Linked DNA regions of Arabidopsis thaliana. The protein of the gene in region 2 interacts with the protein of the main gene of each other region in a biochemical or structural test. Each region holds a gene or a part of one and is shown on either strand. Other genes may lie near its edges.

Evidence for each region.
Region 1: the proteins of GAF1 (region 2) and RGL2 form a complex in vitro, tested with the Arabidopsis thaliana proteins (one study listed by BioGRID).
Region 3: the proteins of GAF1 (region 2) and RGL3 form a complex in vitro, tested with the Arabidopsis thaliana proteins (one study listed by BioGRID).

The regions. Positions count from the first base shown.
Region 1 is NC_003074.8:818,813-823,395, reverse strand, and holds RGL2 (RGA-like 2), read left to right. Parts: upstream 1-1,743; 5' UTR 1,744-2,116; coding exon 2,117-3,760; 3' UTR 3,761-4,059; downstream 4,060-4,583. Other genes in the region: AT3G03460 (mediator of RNA polymerase II transcription subunit-like protein), read left to right, coding at 1-327.
Region 2 is NC_003076.8:24,145,518-24,150,469, forward strand, and holds GAF1 (Polymerase/histidinol phosphatase-like protein), read left to right. Parts: upstream 1-1,581; 5' UTR 1,582-1,689; coding exon 1,690-2,124; intron 2,125-2,230; coding exon 2,231-2,308; intron 2,309-2,391; coding exon 2,392-2,472; intron 2,473-2,567; coding exon 2,568-2,722; intron 2,723-2,802; coding exon 2,803-4,061; intron 4,062-4,156; coding exon 4,157-4,266; 3' UTR 4,267-4,425; downstream 4,426-4,952. Other genes in the region: AT5G59970 (Histone superfamily protein), read right to left, coding at 835-1,146. UniProt on the Arabidopsis thaliana protein: Probable component of ribonuclease P, a ribonucleoprotein complex that generates mature tRNA molecules by cleaving their 5'-ends. May also be a component of the MRP ribonuclease complex, which cleaves pre-rRNA sequences.
Region 3 is NC_003076.8:5,763,465-5,768,253, reverse strand, and holds RGL3 (RGA-like protein 3), read left to right. Parts: upstream 1-2,007; 5' UTR 2,008-2,366; coding exon 2,367-3,938; 3' UTR 3,939-4,265; downstream 4,266-4,789. Other genes in the region: AT5G17500 (Glycosyl hydrolase superfamily protein), read right to left, coding at 1-189, 471-875. UniProt on the Arabidopsis thaliana protein: Probable transcriptional regulator that acts as a repressor of the gibberellin (GA) signaling pathway. No effect of the BOI proteins on its stability.

The sequences.
Region 1 (4,583 bases), on a different chromosome or scaffold from region 2:
GCTCAGGATGCGAGGTTAAGAATGGCGGCTTTGGCTCAAGCAGCAGGACAAGCAAGGGCAGAAGAGTCTCAACAGTCTCATGCCGAGATGATGGCTCGTAACCCGTTGAGAGCTAATGCGATTGGGAATCATGGAGAACAGGGGCGTAACATGAACCCTAATGAGATGATGTTGCTGATGAATGGATGGGGGAACAATAACAACAACAATAATAGCCAGAAGGAAGAGAAGGAACCATTAGAAGATTTCTTGAATGATGAAGAAAATGAAAATGGTGAACATGAGAAGTGGCGAAGAAGTGGGGATTTTGATTTGAATATTCGGTAAATGAAACCATGACTCAGATTTTCTTTTGGTTTGGTTATCCAAATACTCGTAGTTTGGTGATGTAGTTAAATCTTGAAAGGTAGTGAATAAGGTGAAAGATAAATTGACGATGATGAAGTGTTCTTTGAGGTGGACTAGTTTTGGCGAGTGAGCATGACGCGCTTCAGTTTCGATTCTCTCATCTTATGAATTTTAAAAGAGGGATCCTAAATAAAAAGTAACAAATAATGTAAACCACAAAAGCAAAACAGGCCAATTTAGACACAAGTTACATCAAATGACTAAAAATGGAAAAGCATGCACCATGTGACTTCTAACACAACAACGAATATCATTTTCTTGTAGCTGCGATTGGGACCATACCTATATACAATCCCCACAACATTTTTCTATAATTTATTTTCTTATATTCCAAAAGGATCTTTTACGGTTTCCAAACGATACCACTATTCGAAAAAACCTTAATTATTATGCATGATGATGATGTGTGTATGTAAAACTGCTGAAAGATATATGCAATAAATTAATGAAAGTAACCTTATGTTGTGGACGTCTCGTAGGCTATGTCTTCCTCTACGTGGCACATGAGAAGTTGCTCATGTGTCCCCCTCAAATACTTGAGCTGTAGACTGTAGTTTTATCTCAGTGAAACAATACATAGCTAAAAACATATTTGTTTATCATTATGGTAAAAAAGAATTCACATCACCAGAATGTTAGAACTTGGTCAAGAAAAAAGAGAGTAATAGTTGAATCATATTTGTGTCTGATTATACTTTTCTTATGGACCAATAAAATAATTAGTTATCTAATGTTGTCTCAGTTTAATATGATCTCTAAAAACTGATTACTCTATGACATTAAACCTGCTGGTAACAAAAAATTGTTTGCTTTGAAAATTTGTATTTTTATCCAAACACTAACAACTTAGGATTCTTGCTTCATGATTATACACTTTCGACTGAGGAAAAGATTATATACTTTCTACCAAGATATGAGAAAATCAAATTTGTATAATTCAATATTTTCAGTTGTCATTAGAAAAGAGTTGATTATCAAATGTCAATTATTTAGTGAAAAAATAAACATTATCCAACATAAGGAAAAAAACTACACTTAAGTGCCATTATCTTAACACGCATTTGGTGCCGTTTGGGTTTAAGAACAACGAAGTCGTAAGCGAGAATATGACAATATTCAATGGCATTTAAGAACAATTAAGTCGTGATCGTCTATAAGACTATGACACTATCATTAAAAGACACTTTAATCACTTCACAACTTAAAAACATCTTACCAACAAATATGACGAAAGCACACTACAACCTAAAAGTTATAAAGTTCCATTGGTCAAAACTACTAAACAGATTTAGAAATCTCTACTAAACAGTTATAAAGAAAATTATCCATTACTACAAAAAAAAAGGAGTAAATTTCTTGGAGTTAGGAAAAAATGAAAGAGAGAAACAGATGCCAAACAATAGTGGCATGCTCTGATTCTTATCTCTTAAACACACTTCACAGTCACTTCTCTAATTGGACCTCTCTCTCACTCCCTCGTGCTTTATATATTGCTCCTCTCAGAATCTCCTTTCTTTCCACAAAAATTGTCTGTAACCAAATCACAACAAAGACCCACAAAATTCTTTTTTTTTTCTTTTTCAAATCCCATTAATAAAAACCTTACCAACCCATGAAGTAAAGTAAACTCCTTTCTTATAAACTCTCTTTTGTTCTTTTTTTTTCAACTTCATCAGTCTCTTAACTCACCATCACAAGAACAAGAAAGATGAAGAGAGGATACGGAGAAACATGGGATCCGCCACCAAAACCACTACCAGCTTCTCGTTCCGGAGAAGGTCCTTCAATGGCGGATAAGAAGAAGGCTGATGATGACAACAACAACAGCAACATGGATGATGAGCTTCTTGCTGTTCTTGGCTACAAGGTTCGATCTTCTGAGATGGCTGAAGTAGCACAGAAGCTTGAACAACTTGAGATGGTCTTGTCTAATGATGATGTTGGTTCTACTGTCTTAAACGACTCTGTTCATTATAACCCATCTGATCTCTCTAACTGGGTCGAGAGCATGCTTTCTGAGCTGAACAACCCGGCTTCTTCGGATCTTGACACGACCCGAAGTTGTGTGGATAGATCCGAATACGATCTCAGAGCAATTCCGGGTCTTTCTGCGTTTCCAAAGGAAGAGGAAGTCTTTGACGAGGAAGCTAGCAGCAAGAGGATCCGACTCGGATCGTGGTGCGAATCGTCGGACGAGTCAACTCGGTCCGTGGTGCTCGTTGACTCTCAGGAGACCGGAGTTAGACTTGTCCACGCACTAGTGGCGTGCGCTGAGGCGATTCACCAGGAGAATCTCAACTTAGCTGACGCGCTGGTGAAACGCGTGGGAACACTCGCGGGTTCTCAAGCTGGAGCTATGGGAAAAGTCGCTACGTATTTTGCTCAAGCCTTGGCTCGTCGTATTTACCGTGATTACACGGCGGAGACGGACGTTTGCGCGGCGGTGAACCCATCTTTCGAAGAGGTTTTGGAGATGCACTTTTACGAGTCTTGCCCTTACCTGAAGTTCGCTCATTTCACGGCGAACCAAGCGATTCTAGAAGCTGTTACGACGGCGCGTAGAGTTCACGTCATTGATTTAGGGCTTAATCAAGGGATGCAATGGCCTGCTTTAATGCAAGCTTTAGCTCTCCGACCCGGTGGACCTCCGTCGTTTCGTCTCACCGGAATCGGACCACCGCAGACGGAGAATTCAGATTCGCTTCAACAGTTAGGTTGGAAATTAGCTCAATTCGCTCAGAACATGGGCGTTGAATTCGAATTCAAAGGCTTAGCCGCTGAGAGTTTATCGGATCTTGAACCCGAAATGTTCGAAACCCGACCCGAATCTGAAACCTTAGTGGTTAATTCGGTATTTGAGCTCCACCGGTTATTAGCCCGATCCGGTTCAATCGAAAAGCTTCTCAATACGGTTAAAGCTATTAAACCGAGTATCGTAACGGTGGTTGAGCAAGAAGCGAACCACAACGGAATCGTCTTCCTCGATAGGTTCAACGAAGCGCTTCATTACTACTCGAGCTTGTTTGACTCGCTCGAAGACAGTTATAGTTTACCGAGTCAAGACCGAGTTATGTCAGAAGTGTACTTAGGGAGACAGATACTCAACGTTGTTGCGGCGGAAGGGTCCGATCGGGTCGAGCGGCACGAGACGGCTGCACAGTGGAGGATTCGGATGAAATCCGCTGGGTTTGACCCGATTCATCTCGGATCTAGCGCGTTTAAACAAGCGAGTATGCTTTTATCGCTTTACGCTACCGGAGATGGATACAGAGTTGAAGAAAATGACGGATGTTTAATGATAGGGTGGCAGACGCGACCACTCATCACAACCTCGGCGTGGAAACTCGCCTGAGTCGCGGCGGTAGAGATGACTCGCCTGAAACCGGGAAAAACAATAAATGTTTTAAAAAATTAGGAAAAGAGACCGTAACTTTAGTTATGTTTTTACTTTTTAACCCGAAGTTTTTGTGTGTTTAACCTTTTTGCCTAAATGTTTACAACTTTATCTTTTTGGACCTTGTGCGTATCTTTGAGAGTTAAGAGAACGAGTAAAAAATCTTGTATCGTAGATCGAGCTAAGTAGTTTTCAATAAATGGAAGGATAACGATTCTGTATGTTTTTTACTTGATCCAATATATATGAATTTATTTAAATGATTTTGTGTCATATATTTTTCAAATTTGGACAGTTTCGTTGATAACATGGGAAGTGAACGTGAGCGTTTCTGAAAAGGCGGATCCAAAATGTACTTTCAGTTTCGAGGACTGATGTCAGCCTTTGTTAAAAGATTTTCTTCGAAATATATTTTGGTACATTTTTGTTTTCGAAACAGATTGTTCTTTTCTCTCTCTTTATTATGGGTTTGATGAGGTAATATGGATGTCAAATTGATTTTGACGTACGTTATCAACTTTTAAAAATATGCGAGGTGAAATTATTCTACTTTTATGAGATCATAAGCCTCAAATTCAATGGTCTTCTACCTAAGAGTTGGTGGATCTAAATTTTGGGGGGTTTCAGTTTTGAAAACATATATGAAGTTATTCTTTCTGGAATTCAATCTAGACGTATAGTCAAGAAGGAAATTATAAAACGACATTAACGTAGGGATTTTGGTCGGATAGGTTCGGATTATATATAGAACACTCCAATGGCACAATAATATCATTGAAAC
Region 2 (4,952 bases):
GTCGTTGTGGTAGAATAGTTTCGGAATGAGATTGATTAATGTCGTTTTGTATCTTTTCAGAATTTGTTATGCAATACGACAATTTATTCATATCACCTTCTTTTAGATCTGTATCCAATTATAGAAATTGGATGATTTGATTCATCAAATTCAAAGAACCCTTAAGATACCACTATCTCCTTTTTAAAATGGATCAAGACCTCATTATCCACTACCACTCGTGGCAAAATGAAAACTATATAAAATCAACACAAAATGGAGGGAAACTAAAATTTACGCGCTAATGAGTAAAGTTGGTTAAAGCTTCTTTACTCTCAACATTTGGACCTGACGTCTTGTCGTCGTTATTTATGGGCTTGGTGATGTTTTATTGGGCTTAAATTTTGTACATTTTAGTGCAAATAAATATTTCGTTCTAAACAATAATAACGAATCGAAAAGCCCAAGACATGTTATACTCGAGAGCCAACAGTCAAGCTGATTTCAACGTATCTCGTCACGCCACGTAGTTGATTAACAGCCGAAGATCGCCGCTGATAAAGAACTAGATTGACGGCTGACGAGTTAATACGTCTGCTCTACTGTCAAATTCACAATTCAAAGCGAGGTAGAAAATTAGAGTCAGAGTCATAAGAGATTATGAGTAATCAAACGAACTTTCACCAAATTGCGTGTTTCCATTGTTGAGAATTTAGCAAATGAAAACACATTACAAAAGCGAAATAGCAAAAAAAGGAAATCAAATCTTGCTACATTTACTAAAATACCTACATTGAAATTCTCAAATCTAATTTCCAGAAACAGATCTCCAAACACAAATCTGAAAAACCCTGATTAACCGCCGAATCCGTAGAGAGTCCTTCCTTGCCTCTTGAGAGCGTAGACAACATCCATGGCGGTCACAGTCTTCCTCCTAGCGTGCTCGGTGTAAGTGACAGCATCACGAATTACGTTCTCGAGAAAGATCTTGAGGACGCCACGTGTCTCCTCGTAGATGAGACCACTAATACGCTTGACTCCACCTCTACGAGCCAATCTTCGAATGGCAGGCTTGGTGATTCCTTGGATGTTGTCTCTCAGAACCTTCCTGTGACGCTTGGCTCCTCCTTTACCCAAGCCTTTTCCTCCCTTTCCACGACCAGACATTTTCTCGAGAGAATTAGATTTCTTTTTTTCGCTACTGTGTGAAGAAGAATTGCTTTTGATTTTCAGATATTGACTGGACGTGTTTGTTTATATATAAGAGGGCTTTTGTTTTCAACCATCCGATTTAATAACCCATCTAACGGCTGTTAAGCTCAATCCTTGTCAATACTGATATGACATGATAGCCGTCGATTGATTTTAATCAACGGTTATTAATTGTGATCCGCATGATAACTACATAAGTGTTCTTCAGAGCTTCGCTTTGTAGTTACTAGTTTGCATGGGCTGGCTTACTTTTTAATGGGCCGGTTATGGATCGAAACCAAACTTCTCTTATTTTCGAATACGCAGGCGTTTCGGTAACTGCCTCATACGTCGTCGGTTGCATAGTAAAATAAATTTATTTCTTTTTCTTCTCTTTTTTTTTTTTTGGTCGTATTTATATTTCTTCTCCTAAAATCGGTGAAGTATCTAAAAACCCGTTATTTAATGCTTAAACCCTAATCGGAAAATCTCTCCGCCACTGTTCTCTCCGACTCACTAATGGGATTCTTCGATCTTAGCATTCCGTACAATGAGCCGCCACGATCAGGTGGTAAGGAAATCGCCGGCGGGAAAACCTTACGATTAAAGCTCGCCACGAAAGCCATGGAGCTAGGCTATGTTGGGATCGCACATAACCGTTCGATCAAAGGCGTAATGTCTGACAAAGACTCTTGTACGATCCCTCTTCTCACTCTTGGGTCTCTAATCAAAGTCGCTCCGCGGTTAGCTTCTTCTGTCGGATTCCATCGCGATTTACTCGGTGTTCCGCGAACTACTCCGTTTCGGCAGTACACGCGTCTCACAGTTCATGTGGAGAGTAATGCTCAGTGTCAGAGTTTGAATTCTGGGAATCCGATTCTAAAGAGTTATGATATTATTGCTGTTAGGCCGATGAATCAGAACGCTTTCGATTATGCCTGTGAGAAAGCTGAGGTTTGAATTTCTCTCTTTTTCTGTTAAAAATTCAATCTTTAGTTTTTGTAGCTCAATTGGAGTTTTTTTAGTTAGGATTTAACTCTTAGCTTGTTTGTTTTCATAGGTTGATCTTATTTCGATAGATTTTACGGACAAGATGTTATTCCGATTGAAGCATCCCATGGTTAAAGCTGCTATTCAGGTTTGTGATTTCACTGTTAGAAGAATCTGTGTGTATCTTATTCTTTTTATTTGCTTCACCTTAATGAATTTTCTTATCTGCAGCGAGGGATTTACTTTGAGATTAAGTACTCTGATATCCTTATGGATGCACAAACGAGGAGACAAGTTATATCAAATGCTAAGGTGAGATTCTGTGGAAAATTTTATTGTCAATTAGTTGATCATGTGAAAGTTTTATGAGAACTTGCTTATACTGTCTTGTGATATGGTGTATCTAGTTACTGGTGGATTGGACTAGGGGGAAGAATCTAATTATATCAAGTGGTGCTCCTTCAGTCACAGAACTTAGAGGTCCAAATGATGTCATAAATCTCATGTTCTTACTTGGACTCTCTGCTGAAAGAGCTAGAGCTGCCATTTCAAAAAATTGTAGGTATGTATCAAATTCGTCTAGCAATTGTGTTATTTGATGCTGCTAAGCGTCATTGAGAATGGATTTTAAATTGCTTTCAGGAATATGATAGCCAAGGTTTTAAAGAAAAAACGGTTTCACAAAGAAGCTGTCAGGGTTGAATTACTTTCTGCTGGTGATACTTTTAGCCTCGAACAGCCTCTGTCTGAAGATTGCATGAAATGGGATCGCCTTTCGAGCGGTGAAGGTGACATGCTTTTGGATGATCTTGCAAAGGCTTTTGATGCCACAAATGTTGTGGCGCACAAATCCTCGAAGGCGATTGATTTCACCTCTGTTCTTGATGGCTTGCCAAAACATGGTTTCCGGGTTAAGGATATTGTAGGAACTGAATCAGTGACTCAGCCTTCTGCAGCTAAGGTGATTGACACTCAGGTGCACAGTAGTAATCAAGTTTCTGAACTACGTATGGCCACAGCTTCATCTGATGATAACCTTCGGGAAATTGAAACCATAAGCCAAATTGACATGCTGATGTCTGAAGATGACAATAAGGTGGAACCTACTACAAATGTCCTCAAAGAAGAAGCATTTGCCCTAAGGAAATGCAGTGCCAGCCATGGCCAGGGGATTTTGGTGCAAAATCAGACGGCTACTCCCTTTACACTGACAAGATGTACAAAGTCAGAAGCAGCGTCGGATGTTAGCATGAATATTGAGTCGACTTCCGAAGGTGGATCAATGTCACCGTCAAAAAGCGATCATGGGATCCCACAAAGTCCTGTTGAAGTGAATAACATGGGAAATGCTGCTTTTGAAGAAGAAGCCTCAGTGGACGAAAACAGCAAAGAAAGAGCTACTACTGGTCATGCTAGTAATGATGAGATGCATATCACTGAGTCTGGACACCACGCATCCATTGATGATGAGAAGCATATCCCTGAGCCTGAACACCTCACATCCATTGCTGATGAGATGAAAATTGATTGTTCTTCGGAAGCAAATCACGACGAGTACATGGAGGTCACAATGGAAGACCAGATGCATGAAACAGGTGACAGTAAGATTATTCTTCCTAACTTATCCTCTGAGACTACCGATTTGCTAAGTGAATCAGGTAAATCTCTCAGTCCAGATGCGGTTGTGCAAGACCATGACGAAGCATCAAGACTAGAGTCCGATGAGACAAAGCTCGAGGAAGAGGCATCAGTTCCAAACCACAACACCTTTGAGATAACAATGGAAGACAATAAGGTCGAAGAGTTAACAATTGAAGACGAGAAGGTTGAAAAGACTGAAACCGAAGCTAGTCACCAAGCCCAAGTCCAATCCTCTGAAAATAACAATGACACAAAATCAGGTACGAGATCTAAGTTTCCTCATTTGCAAATCTAACCTAACACATAAGTTTGGAGTATAGATTTCAGTCTAATGTTATATCAATCCATAATGTAGGTAAGACGCAAGCTAAGAGGAGTAGAGTTCGTTTACCGCAACTAAGGCCTTTCAAGCCTTTTCTACTTCAATCAAGGTTCAAAAGGATCAGTAAAAAAAGAAAACATTGAAGAGCTTGATCATTCTTATAAGTACAAGTTTTGTCCATTAATTTATACCCACGCAAGTCTCGTGGTTTCATTTTTGAACCGATTATAAAATGGGGGAAAGAAAGAATCTAATTTATTCTCTAGAGTTGATTCTTTGTGTACTCGTGTTCAAGAAAAAGGCTTTTAGTTAAAATATTAAAAAGGAAAAAAAAAAGTTAAAAAGATTTAAGAGTGGAGGAGTCGGTAAATCTACCGCCGGCCGACAAAAGTCGGGGACAATGTCGCCGGAGGGCCTACATCTCCCTCCATAGCCATTGCTAAAGAAGAAAGACTGCTCTCTTTCCTTTTTCAAAACTACTTTATTTATAATCTAATTGAGAAGCATTATTCTTCACATTATTACTAATTACCTACTTGTGAGAAAAATTATTCTCTTATTACTAAAGATGCCTAACATTCAAATTATTTTCACTTTTAAATAAAAATAAATGATTTTTGTTACTGTTGGAAAATAATATAGTCTTACAATCAAAGTAACATTTTTTCTTGCAAAATATCAAAAGTGCTGAGAAACTTTTCCATAGCTTTTTTTTTTGGCAAAAATAATTGCTAGTATGTTTTCCTCTAGCTTTTTTTATATACTGACTTATGAGAATGAATGTATGGGTTGATTACTTTAAGTTAGTTTATTTGAGTGGAAGCTTCTT
Region 3 (4,789 bases), about 18 Mb from region 2:
AACAACGTTTTTCACGTTCATAAATATTGTGGCCATCTTCTTAAGACCCAACATCCATAGATCCGGGTTGAATTTTGGGTCGCCAAAGAACGCGTCCGGGTCATCGTTGCTACAACACCACCCCGGTACGGTCTTGTGGTTGTCAAGTATCACCATCACATCATGCCTCCCAAGACTATACACCACAGCCTACACAAACATGTTGCCTTGCGTTAGAAGATATCATATAGTAAAAACAAGAAGCATGTGAAATATATTTTTTTCATTACAACGATGATCAGATCTGAAAAGAAATGGAAAAATAATCATTATTGCAATATAAGATAAAACATGTTTTAGTCATATTTTTCAGTCACAAATGACTTATTTAAAAACCATGGATTTTTAATTGAACATGAAAAGAATAGTTTTTGTTTGAGTTGAAGAAATTATGTAATACTAGAATCACATGATTAATTATGTATTTATACCTGAAAGACATTGATGAGAGGAGTATTGACAATGTATGGATTGTGAGTGTAAATCCCTTGAAGCTCATGATCCAATCCATATCTCTCAAATGATTGTTTCACGGTAACATTAAAGGCTAAAGTGTCATTAATCATTAATTCAAGTGGCCAAGTGAGCCTAACACAATTGAATCCCATGTCTTTTATCTTTTTCGATATTGAATCCATTGGCTGGCTGCTCAGCCCCTCTGCTACCACTGGCTTGAGGTGCGAAGGCCAGTTCGCGCAAGCTAGCTTCACGCGGTGGCCCTTGTTGTTTACGATCCATCGAGACTTTGTGAATAGTGGATAATCTGTTGCTAGGGTTAGAGATATTAATGACAAGAATAAGAACAAAAAGACAGTTAAAGCGATTGCTTTTGCCATGCTTATTTCGTTGTGACTGTGTTTTAGGAAGATCATTAAGTATATATAGAGAGTGAAATCAAGGGTTTTTGTCACAATGATAGGGGATTTGTTGAGTTTCTTTTGTAAGATAATTGACTAAATATTTCAGGGTTGGTTACTTAGTTTGATGATAGGTTTCAAAATGTAAATAAATGAGATATTTACGGAACATTGTGGATAAATATCTTCTTACCACACGTTTTGGATAGTGTAGTTTTTTTTATTGTTCGAATAATTAAGAGGATAATTAGTCAATGGATCATCCGCCTAAAATGTCGAGAAAGTAACTTGGGTAACATTTCAAAACGTATCCGGCCATTAAATAGTCTCGTCATTTATTTGTTTCCCTCAAAATTGCCAATATATCAACGAACGAAGGGTAATATACTAATATATTTAGCTTGTGTATTCATTCGCTAAGTCATATAAAATTACTCGAAACTTTATTTTATACAGGATTATACATTATTTTCACAAAACGGAAAATAATAAGCCATTTGTACTTAGACCAACAAACTAATTCAAGAGTGAAATCTATTTTTATGTTCAGTTCTACTCTATTATAAAAATCTTCTATATATGTAACTATCATGTTTAAAATGATGTTTTTGGTATGGGGAATAAAATTCAATTTACACACATAAAGAAATGAAAACATAATAATAATAAGAAAGCAACGTAATGTTGTAGACGTCTGATACCTAATGTCGACTGCCGCCACATGTCGACCGTGAGGTTGGTCACGTTGTCTCCCTAACTGCAATACTTTGAGCTGTACTTCTATCGGGACCTCTATTTTCTTCTCAAACTTTTTTAAAAATTAGTATTATTTTATACCATTTCGGCAAACAAATTATTAGGAGATAGTATCATTTAAAAAAATAAATATCAAATTTTGTCAGTAAAATTATTACAGTATGTCACGTTAACTAGTTAAAATTTTGTTATAGAAACAAGATACTTGAAGAAAACGGGCTGTTACTTTCGGAGTTTACAAGTTCCATTTCTCGAGAAGAACTATTTGGGTTATCAATATAGGTCATATGATATGACTAATATCTACTGCAGCACCCAATTTAATAATTCTAGAAACTCTAAATTCAACATTTAGTGGGTATTAAAAAATAGTTTAATAGACTATGACAGTCCATTGGACCATTAAACAAAAACTACACGCCCTTATCAGAGCGACGAATTTTTTGTAACTTGGATCAGAAATTCAATAAAGTTATAGTAATAAAAATGAAATAATTTGGAAAAGAAAGAATAGAGAAGAAAACACATGCGAAATTATAATGGCCTGCCTCTCTTCCTTCTTATCTCTTTTACTTACACTCTCCAGGTCCCTCACTTCCCTCATTGGACCTCTCTAACTCTCCTCTCTTACCTTCTCCTGTTTAAATTCTTCTCCTTTCTTTCCACAATTTCTGTCTAACCAATTCCAACACCAAAAAATTCCATTTCTTGACGATGAAACGAAGCCATCAAGAAACGTCTGTAGAAGAAGAAGCTCCTTCAATGGTGGAGAAGTTAGAAAATGGTTGTGGTGGTGGTGGAGACGATAACATGGACGAGTTTCTTGCTGTTTTGGGTTACAAGGTTCGATCTTCAGACATGGCAGATGTTGCACAGAAGCTTGAACAGCTTGAAATGGTCTTGTCCAATGATATTGCCTCTTCTAGTAATGCCTTCAATGACACCGTTCATTACAATCCTTCTGATCTCTCCGGTTGGGCTCAGAGCATGCTCTCGGATCTTAATTACTACCCGGATCTTGACCCGAACCGGATTTGCGATCTGAGACCAATCACAGACGACGATGAGTGTTGCAGTAGCAATAGTAACAGCAACAAGAGGATTCGACTCGGTCCTTGGTGTGACTCAGTGACCAGCGAGTCAACTCGTTCCGTGGTGCTTATCGAGGAGACAGGAGTTAGACTCGTTCAGGCGCTAGTGGCCTGCGCCGAGGCGGTTCAGCTGGAGAATCTGAGCCTCGCGGATGCTCTCGTCAAGCGCGTGGGATTACTCGCGGCTTCTCAAGCCGGAGCCATGGGGAAAGTCGCTACCTACTTCGCCGAAGCCCTAGCTCGTCGAATTTACCGGATTCATCCTTCCGCCGCCGCCATTGATCCTTCCTTCGAAGAGATTCTTCAGATGAACTTCTACGACTCGTGTCCCTACCTGAAATTCGCTCATTTCACGGCCAATCAGGCGATTCTAGAAGCTGTTACGACGTCGCGTGTCGTACACGTAATCGATCTAGGGCTTAATCAAGGTATGCAATGGCCGGCGTTAATGCAAGCCTTAGCTCTCCGACCCGGTGGTCCACCGTCGTTTCGTCTCACCGGCGTTGGGAATCCGTCGAATCGAGAAGGGATTCAAGAGTTAGGTTGGAAGCTAGCTCAGCTGGCTCAAGCCATCGGCGTCGAATTCAAATTCAATGGTCTAACGACGGAGAGGTTATCCGATTTAGAACCGGATATGTTCGAGACCCGAACCGAATCGGAGACTCTAGTGGTTAATTCGGTTTTCGAGCTTCACCCGGTTTTATCCCAACCCGGTTCGATCGAAAAGCTGTTAGCGACGGTTAAGGCGGTTAAACCGGGTCTCGTAACAGTGGTGGAACAAGAAGCGAACCATAACGGTGACGTTTTCTTAGACCGGTTTAACGAAGCGCTTCACTATTACTCGAGCTTGTTCGACTCGCTCGAAGATGGTGTTGTGATACCGAGTCAAGACCGAGTCATGTCGGAGGTTTACTTAGGGAGACAGATATTGAACTTGGTGGCGACGGAAGGAAGCGATAGGATCGAGCGACACGAGACGCTGGCTCAGTGGCGAAAACGTATGGGATCCGCCGGGTTTGACCCGGTTAACCTCGGATCAGACGCGTTTAAGCAAGCGAGTTTGCTATTGGCGTTATCTGGCGGTGGAGATGGATACAGAGTGGAGGAGAACGACGGAAGCCTAATGCTTGCGTGGCAAACGAAACCTCTAATCGCTGCATCGGCGTGGAAACTAGCGGCGGAGTTGCGGCGGTAGATACGTCGTCATAAAGAGGAGAAGAAAAAAGACTTAGCGAACGTGACCTTATGTTTTTATTTTACTTTAACTTACCCCAGTAGTTTCGTTTTGTGACAATTTCGCCCGAAATATTCCGTGCCTTATACTTTTGGGACCCAGTTGGTTCGTTGGTCGTGGAGATTCGAGAACGAGGAACATGTGTGTATGTAACAACAGCACGAGCAAGTGTTTTCATAGTTTGAATAAATATGAAAGAAATGACGTTTATTTTATTTTTTGTCAACGAATTGACGTTACGTTTAATTTCACCCAAAATATATACAAAATGACGCATGAATGAATTTGGACCGACTCGATTATTACATAGAGGCTAACGTTTCTGGGAGATGATGATGATGATAGAAGTAAAGAAGCTAAACCTCACTTGAGTCTTTTTATTCTGAAAAGCCGGAGTCCAAACTCTACTTTTGGGTTTTTTGAGAGGTTTTCATTGTCAGCTTTTGATCAAGTGGGTGAAACCGTTTTGCTTAGGAATGTGTAAAAGAAAACTTGATATTTACTACTAATTTTATCACCACTTTTGAAAAATACATGTATTCATAGAAAGATATGATAAAGTTGGACCACATTCTCATTCTCTAAACTCACTTTAAACATGGCAATGTTTAAATATCCTCAAGTCTTGGAACATCTTCAGACTTACCATTTCTTGATTTTACCCGTAACAACACTTCAATATCTGAGTAGTCAAGACTAAACAATCCGAACAATATCAGCTTTTGATTTTATATAAATATAACTATATAAGACTTCCTAACAAAGAGGAACATGAGTCCCACAGCCACAGCATGTCGTAATCGATGGATGAG